Lepisosteus oculatus: one gene and its partner. The protein of the gene in region 1 binds, or shares a complex with, the protein of each later gene. Links are inferred from orthologs where the notes say so. Each region holds a gene or a part of one and is shown in the gene's direction. Other genes may lie near its edges.

The links.
Region 2: the proteins of gdf11 (region 1) and fsta are in contact, whole or in part, in a crystal structure (PDB 5JHW), measured with the Homo sapiens proteins. The link is inferred for Lepisosteus oculatus from reciprocal best matches to the Homo sapiens genes GDF11 and FST. Residues at the interface, in NP_005802.1 of Homo sapiens: Asn299, Leu300, Gly301, Leu302, Glu310, Arg312, Asp328, Trp329, Ile331, Ala332, Lys334, Arg335, Tyr336, Lys337, Tyr347, Met348, Phe349, Met350, Pro354, His357, Gln361, Ile380, Asn381, Leu383, Phe385, Asp387, Lys388, Gln389, Gln390, Ile391; in NP_037541.1 of Homo sapiens: Leu34, Arg35, Gln43, Val44, Leu45, Tyr46, Lys47, Thr48, Arg60, Ser62, Asp72, Asn73, Leu75, Phe76, Met79, Ile80, Leu134, Asp135, Arg149, Gln153, Pro154, Glu155, Val180, Val181, Asp182, Gln183, Tyr188, Val190, Thr191, Asn193.

Annotation. Positions count from the first base shown.
Region 1 is NC_090696.1:14,592,397-14,601,872, reverse strand, and holds the start of gdf11 (growth/differentiation factor 11), read left to right. Parts: upstream 1-5,717; 5' UTR 5,718-6,115; coding exon 6,116-6,533; intron 6,534-9,476. UniProt on the Homo sapiens protein: Secreted signal that acts globally to regulate anterior/posterior axial patterning during development. May play critical roles in patterning both mesodermal and neural tissues. It is required for proper vertebral patterning and orofacial development.
Region 2 is NC_090698.1:38,663,665-38,674,252, reverse strand, and holds the start of fsta (follistatin-A), read left to right. Parts: upstream 1-6,144; 5' UTR 6,145-6,300; coding exon 6,301-6,394; intron 6,395-7,910; coding exon 7,911-8,102; intron 8,103-8,328; coding exon 8,329-8,547; intron 8,548-8,790; coding exon 8,791-9,015; intron 9,016-9,727; coding exon 9,728-9,958; coding exon of another isoform or gene 9,959-9,966; intron 9,967-10,588. UniProt on the Homo sapiens protein: Multifunctional regulatory protein whose primary function is to antagonize members of the transforming growth factor beta (TGF-beta) superfamily including activin, myostatin, GDF11 or bone morphogenetic proteins (BMPs).

The DNA of each region.
Region 1 (9,476 bases):
GGTACATGGACCATACCAGTGAACTGGGGTGATTAGCAGTTTGTTGGCTGTTTGTATGACTTTTTTAAAGTCTGCCTGGATTTAAAGAATCAGTTTTAAAATATCGCAATTTCTAAGTCTGCCTGGAATAACCTAGTCCCCCTTAAGGCACCCAGTCCAAAGCTGAAAAAGTGTAGAGGATGGTGGAAAATAAACCTCAGAGCTGGATGAACCTCTCAGCAGGGGCGCAGGAAATGGTTACAGGGCAGAAGGGTGGTTTGCATGGAAGGAGAGAGGAGTGACGCAGCTCCAGCCCCTGTTGATGGAAGGGGTGTGTGGGGGGGTTTGGAGTGACTGATTGAATCTGTGCTCCAAGAAGGAGGAGCTCACGCATGCTGTGATGGTGTGCTCAGATGCAGCCGGGTGAGATGCCGGCTTCATCAAGGCAAGCTTTGCATGCAAACTGTTTGGAGCACAGCTCAGGCAAGCCGTCGGCAACACCCTCCTTGGTGGAAGTGGCTGGAGTGTTCTTGGAAGCTGCTGGCCAGGGTGCAGGGAACATCTCTTAGTGCTAGAGCAGGCTGACGTCGACACAAAGCTTAAGGCTGAAGGCGCTGCTGGTCCCATCATCCTGCCCAGCTCATAACGATGTGCTCTGTTCAGCTCTGCTTCAGACAAGAGGTGTTGTTAATCACCTTGGCCAAGAGACCTCTCAGTATTCACGCAAAACAGTTAAATATTTTGTTCTGAGAGGCACGTTTCTTAAAGGAACAGGGCCATGAAATAAACCCTGGCATTCCACAAAAGAGCAGAGGGTTCAGCCCTGGCTTCCTGGCTGAACTTCAGTCTGGGATCTTGCAGAATACCTGAAGCTCAGCCGTGAATCAAGTTTCCAGGGAATGCACGTGCAAACAGAGAGGAGACGCATTTAGTCTTGAAGGCAGGAGAAAGTGGTACCTGGAACAAAGAGCAAATTAGCCGTGTGGCTGGAAAGGACTTGTTGGACTTTACAGAACAGTGGAGGAGGAGGAGGAAACTGCTTAACTACAGCAATCAAGGAAAGTAGGATAGAAAAAAGTAGAACAAAGCCACAGTCCCAGTCGTTGCAGAGGGGAGAGGTGGCTCTGTGGCTAAGGATCTGCGCTGCAGAGGAATCCTTCTCCCTTGGGCCCCTGAGCAAGGCCCTTAATCTCAACTGCTCCAGGGGTGCCTTATAAATGGCTGACCTGCCAGCTTCTCTCCATGTCTGTGTGTTTCATGGAGAGTGAGCTGAGGTATGTGAAAAGACAAATTCCTAATACAAGAAATTGTATATGACTAATAAAGTGATCTTATCTTATTGAGTTAATACGTTTTGGTTATAAACAATCAAGACAACAAGTGATGTCTTTTTCAAGCACACTGGGAACAGATTTCCACTAGCATCTCATAAAAATACATTCTAAGTGAATTAGAGGCACATAGGGACTTCCAGCACTTATGTGTGCAGCTCATTAGATGCTGCAGACATTCAGTACTGGCACCCCTGGGTTTAGCTCTGATTGGAAGCAGTACACACACTGCAGTGCTTCAGTTTTGTTGTGTGATACAGCACAGCAGGAGGCATCTCATACAAGAGAAACAAAAAGCGTACAGGAGAAGTACACAAAGCGTTGTGGACTTCAGGGCTCAGGCCTTTTCATGACATTAGCGCCTGTGGTCTGGGCTCTTCAGCATGGCTGCACCCATCTACACCAACGCAGCCGTGACCAGCAGAGAATCCTCTGGGTCTTTGTTGTGCTCCCATTGCAGCAATAACAGCTCTGGATCAAAGGCTGAGAGTCCTCCCTGGAAAGATCCTTCCAAGACCTGTGCTGTCGTCTGCCCAGGGGCACGTGCTTGTGCCTGCAGCAAGGCCAGGGGCGCCCCAGTCACATCTCCCCACCGAGCTGCTCACAGACCAGCCACGACCCGCCAGCAGCTCATCCTACCCTGGGATCGGACAGGGGATCATAATCCAGTCTCAGTCTGGTCGCGCTGAGACACCAGTAGGCAGAGAGGCGTTCCTATGAACCAGGAGCACCAGCCTGGACTTCAGCCCATTTCCCACAGAAGAGTTCAGACGGATTGGCATGTTCCTTTTTAAAGAATGAACCGTTCTTCTGGAATCCAGTTGTATCTCTGAGCATCTCAGGAACCACAGCGTGCAGGTCAGACCATGAGTATGTCATGATGTCTTTTCCTCTGAGCTTAGATATTAGTGCAGACACAGCTGACTTTTACCTTTATATATCTCAGTAGCCCAGCAATATTTTCTGACCCTAATAGCAGTGCTTATCTGCTCTGAACTATTGTTCTCCTTAATTAAGTTGGTACGCTGCCTATTATGACTGTGATTAACCCACTTCTCAGAGTGCTCTGCAGTCTCCAGACACCCCACCGACTTGCTGAGGTCCGATCTCCTCTGGAGGCTCACTGTGCCACACCTAACAACAGGTAAGGCCTGTGAAAGGGATGAACTGCGGGGATCAGAGGACAAAGAGCAGCACTTTAGAATCCTGCCTCTCCTGCTATAGAGGTGACAGACAGAACCTGGGTTTTATTACCTCTGAAACACACTGCGTGCTTCAGCAAGGGACCTCACTTCACTGGGCCTGGATTTCCAGTGCAGTCGAGGAGACACAGTGAGTGTGTGCCCCCTAGTGGCTCAGATGTATCACAGCAATCCCCAGAGCACTCCTTGCCCTAGCGCCAACATGACAATTGGATTTCATGTAGGTCACCAGCTGGCCTTGTAAGAGCTGGACCCGGTGAAACAGGACAGGTTTTGCAAAACTGAAATAAATCAATGAGCAAACTGAGTGTTAGTTCTTTGCCAGACAGTGCAATCATTTTCTTAATTACCATTAGGTAGCACTAAAATACAACATTCGCACGTGAAGTGGCAATAGAAATAGAAGATATCCTGAATGTGATGGGGTTTTTTCCCTCTGTTTTAATTCCTTCACTAATATTGGCAGTTATCCACATTATGAATTAGTCCCATGCTGAAAAGGAAAGCAAAAGAGACACAAAAGTCTCGTGTCTCTGATCTTTTCCTTTCAGCATGGAATAAACCTTTAGTTACCCACCTGAACTTAGTGAATGTGTCATCAACTTCTGTTAAATGAAATCTATTACCCTATTTTGCCCAAATTCTCCTCCTCCTCCAAACCCTAAAAAAGCACAGCCAGAACGTGATGGCAACCATGCCCAACGTGCTGTTTTGCTTTGACAGCTATATTGCGGTGTGCTTATTATTATGCAACAGCAAAAAAATCAAATTCATAAACTTTACCGTACAGTCTGAAAGGACTCGTCACTTCGTTCACATGACCTGTGACATAATAACATCTGAAGCAACCCAGGCCAGCAGTATTCATCAGCCCAGCTTCCTGTGACCCCTGCGGCCCAGTCAGTGCAGCCTGCACCAGCTGCTTCGGAAATGGAGTTTGATTTGAACTACTGGATCATGTTCAGAGGCTTTCTAGATCCCCCTAGCAGAAGCACCTGTCTCTAACTCAGAAGTCCTGGAGCACTGTAAGCTTCATCTGAAGTCTGGGCAGTGTGAGCCCAGTGAGCCACAATGATTCTGCAGGTCAAATTCAGGTTTGAAAACCTGCGATCTTAGCATTATGAGTCTACAAACGTCCCTGACGACAGGTGAAGGAGTGAGAAAAAAGCTGAAATGAAAGTCATGCACACCAATGGCAGCAAGACCATAGCCTGGTTGTCACATGACACCATTTCCTGAGGTGCCAATGGGGCATATTCAGGATCTCTGAATCTCTGCCCCAGCTCTCGGAGAGAGGAGCTGACGTTCCGGATCACTGTCCCATAGTGGGGCAGAGGGGCAGATGATCCAGATCTCCAGCCCAGCGCTGGGGCAGAGGGGCTGTTGATGCAGATCTCCAGCCCAGCGCTGGGGCAGAGGGGCTGTTGATGCAGATCTCCAGCCCAGCGCTGGGGCAGAGGGGCTGTTGATTCAGATCTCCAGCCCAGCGCTGGGGCAGAGGGGCAGATGATCCAGATCTCCAGCCCAGCGCTGGGGCAGAGGGGCAGATGATCCAGATCTCCAGCCCAGCGCTGGGGCAGAGGGGCAGATGATCCAGATCTCCAGCCCAGCGCTGGGGCAGAGGGACAGATGATCCAGATCTCCAGCCCAGCGCTGCGGTAGAGGGGCTGTTGATCCAGATCTCTAGCCCAGCACTGGGGCAGAGGGGCTGTTGATCCAGATCTCTATGGGGTGTTAACATAAGACACTTAAGAGTCATTGAGACAATCTGTAGGATGGGACTGAAGAAGAGGTTTATTCACCACCTGGCTAGCTATTAGATGTCCACAATCAGGTGATCACAATATTTTCAGCTGTCCCACGGGGTTGTTCTTTCAGTACCTGACAACTTTCCCAAGACCAGGACACATCGTTGACACGCCCAGTGACACTTCACACTCGCGCCACTTCACCCCGCTGGGTCACGCGTCCCCCTCTGCTCTGCAGCTCTCCTGGAAGAAACACGGGACTGGGAACTGTACAGGGAGACCCCGCGTAAATGCGGGGGCACAGTTATGCGGCATTTATGGTAGCGATGCCTTCATCTGAACACGAAAGCGAGCAGATGAAACCGCATGATTGTTCAAGAATAAAGGAAGCACTGGGCTTTTAAACGAGACACAGCCCGATAGAGCCAGGCTGTCGAGGAAATTCGCTCGCTCTTCAGCGCTTTCCAGGGATTGAGTCCATTCCTGCACTGCCCAGGCAATGTGGAGAGTCTGATTTCCTGGACAAGTTTTACCATTAAGAACAGTGTGGAACTATGGAGTTCGGGAATTCATTTTCGGGGGTATTGTCAAAGGCGATGCTTAACAACGCGATTTAATCTCGTTTTCGCTTTAATTTTTCCGGGGGGTAAATAGAGAACAACGGAAACGAGTTTAACACGACGGGGTTCATGAGAACTAGAGCAATCTTGTCAAGAGGAGATCCATGCTCCCGCCCACCACGAATACTCTCAATACCGCCGTATACTCCAGTATTGGCGGAGATCGTCATCCGATTTTCGACCGTCGCCTGCCGTCTAACTCCTCACGGTGCTGTTAGAAAGATGTGTACTCGATAGCCTATGTGTTGCTACCGTTCTACAACAGAAAGTGATCTATCTGACTCGCCTGCAGAGTCAGTCATGGTATATAAAACCTCTGACCTACGGCCTGACGCTCTGCTTGTGGAGAGAGCCTGGTACAGTAATTCAAGTCCATCAGCAGTGCGGCTTCACCTGCGCGGCGAAATCGCGGAGGCCACAGGTTGGCGTCGAGCGGCGGGCGGCAGCGGTAAGGCATTCATTTATTCTCTCAAACCCCGACGCACTTGTTACTCGGACGGATCGTGCCAGGGGGACATCTCGGAGAAGTGTCAGCAGCTAGAGGACACTGGAGCGAAGCCCGTTCACGGCCCTGGACAGTCCAGCCCCCGGGCGCGAAGGTGATCCTTTGCAGTTTTCTTTTTTAACCGAAGTTCGGAGCAGTCGCTCGGGAAGCGTTAACAGGGTGTCTGACCCAACTGAAACTCTGTCTCCCTCTCCCCGCGTCTCTCTATCTCCCTCTCCCTCTCCCCCCGCGCTCTCCCTCTCCCCCTCGCTATCTCTCTCCCTCTCTCTCTTGACTTGGTGACAGACCTAACAGCCTTTTGTTGCGCTCGCAGCCAATAGAGGCGGAATACGACACGGAGCAGCTGTGATATAAAAAGAGCCCTTTTTAGACTTGCCTGCACACCATTCATTCACACATCTTCACACGGAATTCTTGATGATTTTAATTGTGTCCGGCTCTACAACCAAAACAAACCGATAAATCAGCACTTCTGAACGAGCTAGGGCAGCGAGCGCCGAAGAAACGGCTGGGCGCACCCTGCGGCGCGTTTATTATCATCGTTTCTCATAGTTAAGAGCGTTAATAATCGTTTAGCACTGTTAATTGGAGTATTGGGATTGTTGCTAATTACCGCTAGCTCTGTAGGGACGCGGTAGGGGCTGCAGTCAAGAATACGGACAGAAGTCACTTGTGAGAAACGAAGTGAGGAAGAGCCGGGAGAGAACACGACCTCACGCTGCCCGGCATCATGCCCAAGTCTCACTTTCTTCTGTGTTTGATGGCACTGATTTCGCTGCGACTGTCGGGCAGTGACGAGCCCAGCCTCCCCCTGCGGCCGGCGAGCGAGGTGCCCACGGAAGCCGGGGATCCTTTGGCAGAAGCGGAGGATCCGGGCGCGCAGGAGTGCACGGCGTGCGTGTGGAGGGAGCACAGCAGAGTCCTCAGGCTGGAGACCATCAAGTCCCAGATCCTGAGCAAGCTGCGGCTCAAGCAGGCGCCCAATATCAGCCGGGAGGTAGTCAACCAGCTGCTCCCCAAGGCGCCGCCTCTCCAGCAGCTCCTGGACCATCACGACTTCCAGGGGGACGCTTCGCTACAGGATGAGTTTATGGAGGAGGACGAGTATCACGCCACCACCGAGTCCGTGATCACCATGGCTTCGGAACGTGAGTGTTCGCGGCGAGACCTCTCTCCCAGCAGGTCCCCTCGGGGCGCGTTAGTTATTCCAGTCTTTGCTAGCGGTGCGACTTGCGGCTATTGAAGAAATACCCCCCCCCCCCGCTAACTTTGAGAGAAGCCTGACCAGCAGAGCCGGGCAGGCGGCGGAGTCCCGCACTTGCAGTCTATTGGAGTCTGTTAGCTCTTCCGTTCCCCCCGTGTCAGCTGGGCGCCTGTCAGATTGCGGGCGCGGGATTCGTGAAGGGGACACTCCGCACGCAGAAGTCAGTTTTCCTATGTGTCCCTATTGAAATTTGGGTCGATAAACTGATGTGAACTTGAGAACAAAATGTATTTTTTTTTCTGCCCGGTTCCGCCGTTGTAGTGGAGTCTCCAGGAAGATCCCTTTTTCCTGGGAGTCGGACCCAGGCTGTCCCCACTCTGTGTCTGTCATCTGCACTGTGCGCGTCCGTGTTGCTGGACTCCTCTGGACCAGACGCATCAAACTGCCTTAATTCCCATTTTGACTGTGTAGGAAAATGCCCCCCTCTTTACAGAACAGTGTTCTAGGCTGGTCGTTTTCTGCGTTGCTCGGATTTTGTGTACTTTGGTACGAGCCTTAATTTAATTTGAGCTTTCAATCTCGTCAGTTAATGCACGGAACACAGCCTAGGTACTAAAAAGAACTTTGCCGGCAATCTTCTCTGTCATGTTGTGTTCAGACCCGTCATCGCCGCACACAGACGCGTCTGGTACTGTAGTTGCGCATCTACTGAGAACGGCACAGGCCGTTCATTTTGCGGGCTATAACAGGTGTGCAGGTTGTCCGTTCGCTGCCTCTTCATTTAGCGGCCTTTCTTTTCGTCCCACAAAAGACGACGAGTTTAAAGCAAGCGAGCAGGACACGAAGCCTCCCGCGTCCCCGCGTCCAAACCCACACCAGGAACCGCGGGAGTGCGAACCAGTTTCGCTCGTTTTCGGATACGCGTCGCGGTTGGGCAAATTCGCGTTTGAACCCCCTCCTCTCTCCCATATGCGGCTTGTTTAAATTGTTTGACAGACCGAGAGCGATCATTTGACGCCCCTTCAAGCGGGCCGTCCGTATCGGCTACGCCGAGAAAGCCTAATCCTAACGACAATGTAAATGAAACCTAATTACATCAAGCGCAACAGATGAAGAAACGTCCAGGGTTAGGGGTCTCGCAGAGACGGGCCATACTGCAAGTTTTAGAAACCTTACTACAGTCAACAGCTGCGCTATGGTACTCCTTTATAAGCGAGCTCTAACGGGGTCTCCCGCTGCTCCGCGCAGCGAGGACAAGTGTGTTCAAATACCCGCTATTGTTAGCTGTCGCTGCGGCGCTCTGCTGCGCTGGCCTTTTTCAAATGAGAACTTTATAGGCAGAGCTCGCTTTTTTTTTTCACTGGAGATAGCAGGGCTGAGAAAGTTGGATTCGAGGGAGTGTGTGACCTTTCCGCGGAGAATCGCTGAGGTTCGACGAGATTTACACACGTAATGTATTCTGCACAAGGCTACCCAAAAGCCGGGTTAACTAATCCTTTGCAAAAGCGAACAAGGGTAGGTTTGTGTTGCACATAACTAACTTCTACAGTGATTGTCACACAGGCCACGTTGTGCTGATGCGGAGCGCATAATAGACTCCGTATATATTTCTTCCACACAATTTCTTTAGAATTCGCACTTTTACCGTCACAATAGCAACGCTGAGGGTTCTGCAAGAGGCGATTAGCGACAACGGGAGCACGTGAACTGGAAGAACGAAAATATTTTATTAGAATTACTTTCGAGTTTTCCTCCGTTGTCATGCCACCGCCTCAGTAATTTTGTATTCTGAAAGTCGGTTTTGCATTTTAAAAATCCTAAATCAATGACGGAACTGTACTGGGTTTACGCACGGTCAATGTAGTATACATTTATTTACTGCTACAGCTCAGCCAGCAGAGAAGGACGCTGTATTGTACACAATAAACTAACGTCATAGAGCACCATTAAATCGGCTATTAGTTAACAGTAATAATAACGATAAGAACAGAAAAAATAAAAACCGGGGTTCAAATCATACAATCTAACGCGCCTTTTGCTGAACAATGTCGTTTTTAACTTCATATAAACCTGCAAGGGATTAATTTTTAATCCCGAAATAATTAACCATTTCTGTCTGCTTGTGGGTGAAAATTACGGATGATGTCCAGTGGTGAGAACCGTGTCCTCTCTTTTTCACTAGAAGATTTCACATTCATTCCTTCTCATTTTCCTTCTGCACTTTTTAGTTGGCAGAGGACTCAAAGGTTGTTGTTCTTGTAATCAAAGAGAAGGTACGAATCGGATTGCGTTTTGTCTTGGCTGTAACCTTCACTCCCCGTTTCCCCACGTTCTCCTCTGCCTGCTGAACCGTGACGAGGGACAACATCGCTGAGGACAGTTGGGGTTACAATTACCTGTTAACTGGCGGGTCACAGTCTCTGACCATCATTTCGCTTCGTCAGGAAAACCGCCCAGAAATGGGACCTGCAGCTTTAAAGATTTTTGATTCGGATTCGCATGAGCAAGTCGTACCCGCTGCCTTAGAAAATCGGTATAATTCAAGTACAATTAGATTACGGAACCAGTTCAAATGCATTCTGATCTCATTCTGCAGGCACACACTTAGCAGGGCTTGAATTGTCTGGTGGCCTGCCCCTCACTGCTGGCTCTGGAGATCCTCCCTCCCCCCCTTGGTTTTTCCAGGTTTTCATTCCACCTGAACATTTAATGACTTAATTGATTCAATTATCGACTTAACTGGCTTACATTTGCGCTGGTTCTAGGCCTGGAACAGATGAGGTTTACAGGGGAACTTTGGAACGGATGCTAAAATCCAAGTCCAGGGAGCCTCAGCTCTAATGCTTCCTCGATCCTGATGTCGTTTCCTCACCTAAGACATGATAAA
Region 2 (10,588 bases), on another chromosome or scaffold:
ATACGGTATACAGTATGTACAGAACCATATTCTTACACAATGTAGACTAAAATGTCAATAATAGAATGAATTTCATATATCAAAGATTATTCATATGTGCTTCTCCACTTTTTCTGCAAGCATCACATTTTGCAAAACACTCTGGAGAATGTCAGTAAATAATAAACTTCTAGTTCAGTTGCTTCATTTAAATCCAACATTCCACAACATTAATTTTGGATTGTTCAGTTCATTTAAACAGTTATCCAATAGTTAAAATATAGATGGATTAATGATATGGGTGATCAATCCTGTACTCTGCCATTAATACAGTATATCAAAAGTCCTCTAGTGTTAACGGTTACCTACTGTATTCATACAGTATATAATACCTTAAAGGAGTCATTAAATGTCATTATTGAGTTTAATTATAGGCACTAGACAACCTTTTTGTTAATTCCATTGATTGTGAACAAAGGTATTTTCTATAAAATGAACAATGTTGACACCTGTTTATAAATGTACTGTAGGTAGGCTAGCCTGTTGCTTATAATATGATTACTGGACTAATGTAATTAGTGTGCTTTCCTTAGACTGACATTTTACACGGCATACAATGAAACAGTTCCAGTGCTTATACAGTAATATTAATGGTAATGCTTACTTTTGGTTTTTATTTCTGAAATGTTGAGTAATAACATTCTGGGACAATTATCTAGGAATAACAAACATGTTGTCAAACAGTGTTAAATGAGCACGTAAATAAAAACAGATCAATGTTTTGTTGCCAGACACCTTTGAGCATATTATGCATTTGGCTTGGCAAATAGCACAAGGACATGTGATAAAACCCACAAAAATAGCTCTCCCAAATATGAGTCCACAAAAAAAACAAGAAAAACAAGAAATTCAAAAGAAAAGCAATTGAGGTCTTTTCTGCTAGCAGTTTTCTTTCAGGCTTACTGTTCAACAACCATTAAAAGATACTGTTGGAATCTTTAAATCACACATCTAGGTGAAAGCAGAAATAAATTGCTTTTTTATTTCCTCACAGCAGCTCTTTGAGGTGCTGCTAAGATGGGGTCAACATAGACTGTATAGGCTTTAAGCTTATTTTCCTTTGACTGATGGTGTCAATTTCACTAAGGTTATACTGCAATATTATATTTTAGGAGTGAGATAGTGCCATTATTTCTCTTTACTGTTACTCACTGAGAATGAGCAAGTAATACACTAAGTAGAAACTGAATGTAATTATTTTGAACAGTTTATTTTGGCTATTTAATTGATAAGTCATTACTGTACAGCATGTCCAAATATGAAAATTGGGCAGAATACTCAAGAAATATGCATTGAATGTCTAACATTTACAGTAGCTTGGTTTGCATCACCCATTGAGTACAGTATAGGATTCAACCCCACATTTTTGGGACTGTTATAAGGATAACTATGATAACGTGAGTAAATGATTCTGCAACTCTATAATGGTCTTTTCAGTTTAAAACCATAAAAAAACTCTTGTTGCTCATTTTCTTTTGGAAAATTTCAGCAATGGTAATTAATTTCCTATTTCAAGAGCTCAATGGGAAAACAATATACAGAAATCAAAGTTGCTATTAATTTGTAAAGAAGAAGTAAGTAAAACAATCTTACACTAAATGTCTTAATATCATTTTCTACATGATCTCACTCTCATATTTTTATTTTCTTTCTGTTGCCAACCATTACAATACAGGAATATAATGAAGCGGCTAAATTATGCAATTGTATTTGCCAAGTGCAACCACTTAGTTAAAAACATCATACTGAACTGCCTGTAGCAGGTTTAGCATATACCCCACAGTATACAGTATATCATCTACATTCAAAAGCATTTATCAAGGTAAATGTATTCATAGACTTGATTTAATTGTATACTTTAGGCACTTTATGCAATAAGAACTATATGTCTCTACACATTTGCAGCAAAGTGGCCATCCATCTCTTGCTTGTGCCCTTGATTATGCTGATGTCATGTATTCAATTGTATCTCAAACTTGTCTTCAGACAAATGGACATTAATTTATAATCCAGTGTGTTGATTTGTTCCATAATGCAATTATAAGATACACATGTAAGGTATTCCAGTACTTTTCCTTTATTTTGTGTATACCATCTCATATGTTTGTCCACCTTTCTTTAATAGACACAGTTCACATTCTCCACACTGTTTACATTCGTTTACAACAATAATTAAAAAGTCACATTAGCTACATTTTCAGGAATTCTAAAACATTTCAGCATGTAACTATTCATGTTTTTGGAATGAAAAATAAGCAAGGCAGTCTCATTTTTATGATGGATACAATACATTGCATTTTGAGTTTTTCCATTAATGTATGGTTATGTCCAAAAAGAAAAGGAAAAATAGATATTTAAATGAGTTATATTTTAATATTTTAACATAATTAGCAACCTCTGATTTTTTTAAACAAAAGACTGATTTTCTGAAAATTGTTAAATTTGACAGTTTGGAATTCTTAGTTAATTATGTATTGACTAAGAACATATTCCATGTAACTATTTCTAAAGATTACTCTATTACTAGAAAAACAGCATGTATGACATACTGTATACCAAATTGGTTTATGCATCTGCATTGTTTCTGGGAAATGGTTTCTCTTCATCTTGAATGCAAGCAATAACTGAACCTCAGTGCCTCCTCTCAAGCAATAGAGGATACCCCTGGACACCCTCGTCAAATCTATTTTTAATACTTTTGTGGGTACATTTTCTGGATTGAATGGTGAATAAAAGTTAACTTCATCATAGAGGTATTTAAAGCAATCTTTGGCTGAAAATTATTTTTAACATCAGAAAATTTAAAAGAAATGCACATGCTAAATCATTGACAGATATAGAATATTTGCTATTGTTTGTTAAGTAATGAATTGTTATTTCAAATGCACATTATGAACACCCAAGAATGGTCACCACATCTTAAGGCAAGAATGACCTGAATTTATAACACTGCAGTATTGGTTTGGTCATTTTCATGTCACAGTATTCTGTAACAGGACCTCTGATCATACCAGTATGACTGTTTTCATTAGATGCTCCTCTTGCTATTGGAATGTGCATCCATTTACTGTACATACAGTACTTGTAAAGGCTGGAGTGGATGAGCACCTGGTGTAAACCTGATCTCCACATATGGTGTGATTACATTGGTAAAAAAAAAAGCACAGAGGAAAATTTTACTGTTCCATAAAACATGCTGGTGACTTCGCAGGCTATCAGATGTGTTCTGACTGCGATTTTTGTTTGTTTTAATGTGGCAGCGATATGCTCTTCCTTGATCAGTGTCTTGCTCGTTCATATTTCAACGCGAGTATATAGTTTACACATGCAGTATAACTTGCCTGTAATATGTATTTCTACATAAAGTGTTGTTTTTTTTCCGTTTAGGGCGAGCTAAACTTAAAAACCAACTTCTCATGACTTCTCAGCTGACAAGCGCGCATTTTAGATTTTTGATCATTACAGTACTACCGGCTATATATATTTTTTCAAATAATTAAGTAAAAATATAGTGTTAACTCAAGAATAATTACTGAACACACCCAAATTTATTTTCTAACTGGAGATGCACAATTACGTGTTTTAATCGACAGTTTATCAGCGAAGGTCTTAAGAAAAACACGTTGTGTTAGAAAAACATTTATTGTGTTATTTAGTTTTGTCGTAGAAGTTAAAACTGTTTGTTCCTTTTAAACAAATTATATTGTTTTCAACGGGATTTTTGCGCATATCACATTAAAAAAATATATTATCGATGTTATAAGCCAAAAGGTTTAGATACATTAAAACACTGCTTTACATAAAAACATTCTAACGGCTTTACAGGGGAAACACCATTAAAGCATTGTCTAAAGAAAAAGATGTACAGTAGGTCTGAAATCTGGAAATTCATTAATACAACTTGACATGATCTGAAAATAAAACCAAAATCCATCAGTCCATAAGCTTCTTTTAAGCACATTAGTGCTTTGAAATGACAATTGCAGTTTCCTTGTTTACCATTTTCCATCAACAAACTGAGGATTTTTAGCATTTCATTCCAGTGGGGAACCCCATGAGCATTCAAATAAAAGTTAATATCACGGCACCAAATTATTTCTGGTTCTTGTTTTCGTATTAATTCACTGTCACATAAACAAATTCATTTAAAGCGTTAGGCCTTACTGGAAAGGAGATTTTTAATTATGTTTCCACAATTTCCGTACCTTTTAAACACACATATATATACATTTGTTCCCCTTAAACTACAATTTGCCTAAAACAATAATTTGAACAAACAAATAATAGGTTTATTCCATGGTGAAAAGAGAAGAAAACACAACGTTTCGGCCGTGAAGCCTTCTTCAGGTGTCAACGTCAAACGTTGTATTTGCTTTTTTCTCTTCTCAGCATGTCATAAACCTTTACTTGTTCCTTTGCAGCCTACGCTTGCTGACGCAGCTACCCACCTGAATTGAACAAACATATCACACTTGGAATTATATCAATTCCTCTAGTAAATAATCATTGTCTGAATCAAATTAGACTACCGACAGCTAGCATCTCTTGGGTTCTGTTCATATCATTTAATCTTTACTGTGCAAACCTCTGAAAATTATTTAATGTTACGTACCACTAGGTGTTATATAAATTATTCTAAATTCTACATATCATGATAGTCTAGACCTAGATGTGACCTAAAATAAGTTGTTTTCTCGGATCAACCCTTCACTGGCGAGCATAAATTACGTGTGTGGGGGGATCCATAACACAACTATGAGCAAAGAAAGAGTAGCATATTTCTTTTACTCGTTAAAGATGTAGTACACATTGTCTGCCGGTAGAAGGAACCCGACCCGTTTTAATCGAAAGCTGACTTACAGCAATTGGAAATACCGCACACAGAAAGAGCAGCGAGTCACTGTGTGCGTGTTGCTGAAGAGGTCGCACGTGGACTTAAATCGGAACATAACAGAGGGTGCATTTGCTTAGAAACAACTATTGCTTAATGTATATTCGCTATGTAATACAATACTCCGCTTGCTCTCAAACCTATTTGGAAACGGGGATGGATAAACTTGAGAGCCTGGGTCTGAGAAACCCAAACAACTGTCTCTTCTAATATTAGCATGCCTGTATTCTGTGATCTATTATTGTCGGTCCAGGCAGATCTTATTGTAATACAGCACTTTTATTAAAAGATTAGCACTATCTTCTGCAGTTGGTGGAAAGAATATCTGTTATCACCGAGATATTTGCAGCTGGGGGAAAGTGGGTAGACCCAAAAAATCGATTGGCATTCTTCGTGCGGGGATTTATTCAAAAGGCATGGAGTTCAGGAGGTGCATAATCTTGAAAAAAGTACTGGAGTAAATAGCGTCTACGTTAGGCAATTTTTGCAGAAATGTCGCCCACTCATTTTCATAGCACAGTGCCAAGTATGTTGTAAAGAATGAGCACTCGCCTACATAGAGTAAACAAAAGCCAGACGGCTGTTAATAAACCTGCATTATAATGAAACGAAGTAATGTCTTTCGATGTTGCAATCGTAAAACCAAGGCGAAACTGCTTACAGTGATATAATATTCAGTAGTTATATTGTAATGATTTTTAGATGGCTGGGTGTTATAGAAATCTGGTCATTTTGAAGAATTTCTTTTTCAGAGTTGGGATTCATTTGTTGTTGTTGTTGTTGTTGTATAGTTCTCTTAATGTAAAGTATTCATATAAAACTATTTTTAAAACTTGTTTTAAGTTAATACCATAAACCTTCAATTTTAAAAAGAGATTTATTTCCTAATATTATTGAACATAAGAAAAAAAATCATTTTCTAATGTAAAACATGTGTAGGTGTTTTAATTGACCTTAGTTTTAATGTCAGTTATTAGGCTATATCATGATAAATATAGCCTTGCAATATCTTCCACTTTCATTATGGGACGGGCTTGGTATTCTTTCACATTGTATCAAACGCAGACGCGTACATACAGTACACAACATCCCAGACCATGCCCACTGTGCATAGTTTCCTGTACTATTGTTTTGAGAGAAAGTTTCGACTGGAGATGTCACCTGATTTGGATCGAAAGAACTTTTTTTTAATCTTACTCCCCACCCCCACCGATTAGAAGACCGCCCACCACAGACAGTCGGCCCGAGACCCCTTATAGATTTAAAAAGAGAGGCTGCATTCACAGACTGACATTCATTCAACTCAGCGATCGTAAGCAGATTACTTTTCCGCTGCCTGTTTCTTCACTCCGGTTCACTTTGCCTTCATCATGCTAAGGATGCTAAAGAGATATCAGCTCCACCCGGGCATGATTTTATTATTTATATGGCTAAGTCATTTAATTGAAGATCACAAAGTGCAAGGTAAGTGCGAGTATACAGTTATTTTTAGTAGTACATTTTAGTTGGATGCCATTTAATATTTTGAAAGACATTTGTATGGTATAAAAAATAAAGTGTCAGGTTTAAAACTTTTTCAAGACCTAACGGGTATACGCAAGATCACTTTGTATTTACTTTTAACTTTGTTCTGAACATGCAACTCAGCTTTATCTTAATGCATTAAGCGCTAACAAAACAGGTGCATTTCTATTCGTTTTTAAAATATGTATTGAATATTTGGATATTCAAGCTTTTTACCTGCATATTATATTTCACTTGACTAACTAGCCAAGCATCGGTTTATGGTAGGGTATACTTGTGCTGGACTATAAATGAAGCACTTTAATATGTATAACAGCGATAACTGTGTTTTTAGGCTTCAGATTTCCTGAAGGAAACTTAAACTGGAAAGAATAATACAATTAATACCAGAGACATAACACGTGATTTTAAGTCTTCTGCTCTCCCTGACAGTCAATTTATCTAGCAGCTCTAAATATAAGCTTCAGTTTTCAACTTTTTTATTACCCCACTTTTCAGGCAGTTGTATTAATAGACTTTACATGAAGTCTGTTGAGTCTCGTTTTGTTGGAAGACAGGAATAGTAAATAGCCTACAGATCTCACGACCCATTGAAGCTGGATGAATTAATTGCCATTGAACCAACAGAAAAGTCACATTGCTTATTTATTGGTAGTGAAGTCCCATTCCTTTCATACAAGAGCTAGCAGTGTAACCGCGATCCAAGTAGGTCAACTCGTCTCATGAAACACAGCAAAATAAATATAAACCTTGCGTGACTCGGAAAGTGTACTGCAATGACATGTCCGCCGCGTTGCACCGACTGTATGGTAATGCTGTGACTAGCAGTTAATCTTCCCAAGTGTTGAAGTAAATCCGACACTGCTGCTTTCTTCAGTGTGCTCTCACACAGAGTGCACGGACAAGGGGGATGAAGCGCAAGTGTACAGTACGCTACACATGTTTTGAAAAGCAAGTTTTCAGCTGTTAACATTTCATGCAGTGTTCTTTGTTTTAAACTGTAATTAACACCATCCATGTGATTGCAGTGGTATCTCGACATTTTAGCATTATTAACAAAACCCGTGTGATAGTAGTTGTATCTTGGTGATTTTAGTTTCTTCAATACGATTAATCATAATTTGATTTTAGGCTGGCTTTACACTATTGTACTGTGCTTTAGCATATTATTCATGCGGTACCTTGTCCCCCGTACTGTGACTCGTACTGTCCATTTGAAATCTGGTTTAAAACAGACGCGGTAGTATTGTATTGCTTTTTCCGATTTGTGTAGACGGTTGTCGTAAGGTAGGTAATCGTATTGGGATCTGACTTTGCAATTGTTAAATGTCTCGTCACGTTACAGAATCAGACAAAATACCGAGGATAAACAGACCACCATAAGCCAATATACAGTAAGCTGCACGTGTTATGTCTGGGTCATTGGCTTCCGACTTTAAGTTCTTTTTCTTTGCAGCTGGTAACTGCTGGCTACAGCAGGGAAAAAACGGAAGATGCCAGGTTCTCTACATGTCTGGGATGAGCAGAGAAGAGTGTTGCAGAAGTGGCAGACTGGGAACTTCGTGGACCGAGGAAGATGTACCAAATAGCACGCTTTTTAGGTGGATGATCTTCAACGGAGGAGCCCCAAATTGTGTACCTTGTAAAGGTACATGAAATTAAGCCCAATATATTACTATCGATGTACAGTGTATAGCAGTCTTATTAAAAAACGATTAAGTGCCAGATCAATAAATTTTATGAAGATAGCAAAGCTAGTTTGTGTATTTGTGAATAAATAATTTCATTTGGAAATAATTAATAAAAACGTGAATTCCAAGGTCATTACCCTTTTTCAATAGCTGCATGTCATTTATTGTGTTTTATTTGTGTAGAATCTTGTGACAATGTGGACTGTGGCCCTGGAAAAAGATGTAAAATGAACAAGAGAAACAAACCCCGCTGTGTCTGTGCTCCCGACTGTTCCAATGTTACTTGGAAAGGACCTGTCTGCGGGTCCGATGGAAAGACCTACAGAGATGAATGCGCCTTGCTGAAGGCAAGATGTAAAGGTCATCCAGACCTGGAAGTTCAATACCAGGGCAAATGCAAAAGTAAGTTCCTTAGTGTCTCTTGTCTTCCCCACTAAAAGATGCTGTGAATGCTAAGAAGGAGAAAGACTGTGGAAATGCACTGTTTGCAGTTGTGTGGAAATACACTAATGGTGCATAGGTCATGCCTAATAATATAATGGTGATGTTGACGATATTCAATGATATTAAACAACATATTAATAAAGAAGTCCCTTCTTTAAAAAAAAAACAACATGATCTACTTATAATTTGACTTTCTTATAGAGACATGCCGTGATGTTCTGTGTCCGGGCAGTTCAACGTGCGTCGTTGACCAGACCAATAATGCCTACTGTGTGACATGTAATCGGATTTGCCCCGAAGTTACATCTCCAGAGCAGTATCTGTGTGGAAATGATGGAATCATTTATGCAAGCGCTTGCCACCTGAGAAGGGCTACTTGCCTGCTGGGCAGATCAATTGGTGTTGCATATGAAGGAAAATGCATAAGTAAGTTATTGTCAGGTCCCATGTTACAATACCGAACTCTTCAGATCACTGTTTTGACACCTTTAAGTTTGTCTTTCTGCATTTCAGAAAAAAAGCCTCTTTTTAATCCTAATGAACATGAAAGTGCATTCCATTTTGATAGAAAATGTCTAGTTATAGACATAAGTAATATTTAAAAAAAGTTTCATGTCCTCAATTCACCCCCCAATTTAGTCTGCCACAGTTTCTCATTTTCAAACTGTTTTTTGTTATACATACCTGGGGTCATATGATGTTAAAACTTTAAAATGTTTTCCAGACCTTGTTGGCTTTGCTGTTATTAGTTGATTTCCATGTGTTCTGTCCAGATGCCAACACCCGTCTTACTACCACAACATGTAAGGGAGTAATTATGAATGGGAGACCTGGAGCCTCGTTATGCTATCATATTACATTGGTCTACATGCTTGTTATTTTGGGGAAAATATATACATGTACAGTATGTTTGTATATATGTATGTGATGGCACATCCTGATTCTATGTGATCTTAGGACGACAGTACATGTATGCCAAGCTCTTTTTATAAAACATACCCTCATGGCATACTTACTGAATCCCTTTATCTCTGTCATAAAATTAAGCCAAATCCTCATTGCTTTTAATTATATGTGGTGTTTATGAACATAAAGGGCAGTTTGCTAAGGGACTCTGTGGTGTTCCCTGGTTTTGTAGAAGCGAAATCCTGTGATGATATCCAGTGCAGCGCTGGGAAGACGTGTCTATGGGATGCAAGAATGGGCAGGGGACGCTGCTCACTGTGTGATGAAGTGTGTCCTGAGAGCAGATCAGATGAGGCAGTGTGTGCCAGCGATAACACCACGTACCCCAGCGAGTGTGCCATGAAGAAGGCCGCTTGCTCTGTGGGCGTTCTTCTGGAAGTTAAACATTCTGGATCTTGCAACTGTAAGTAAACCATAAAGTGAAAGACACTTCGATATTCTGTCAGCCACCCCTTGCAGACTAAGGAAAAGAAAAGACTGGAAATGGGAGTTGTTGCATGTCTTCTTGCACTGGCTTTATTAATTTTGCATTTTCTGCAAAAAACCGAAGTAGACATGAAGACTCATCTTTGGGAGCTATTGGGCTCCTAATTCCCTTCACATAACTAACAAGATTATATTTGAAGACTAATGTTTGCAGTTAGTGCACTCTTGCTAAGAAATTGTAGAAGAGTACATGGTAATTCTAGTAGCCTGTCCTTCAGCAGGTTGCCTTAAGACGATATACTTGCTGTCATGCTGTCAATGTAGGAAGACACATAAGTTGGCCATATCTTTACATCTTGTAAATGACACGGTCATAATGGTAATCATATGTTAACCATGTATTTATTTCCTTGCTTATGGCTGTAATCAATCATTTTAAAATCCACTGACATTGATTTCTACTATGACATACACAATTAAGCCTTTATATAGAAGCATACATTCATAATTGTACATAAGGTGATTGTAACATTGGTACCATTGCAGTTTTAAATACTAAGGGGCAATGTTAACATGATAACTAAATCAAGTAATATTTCTCAGCACA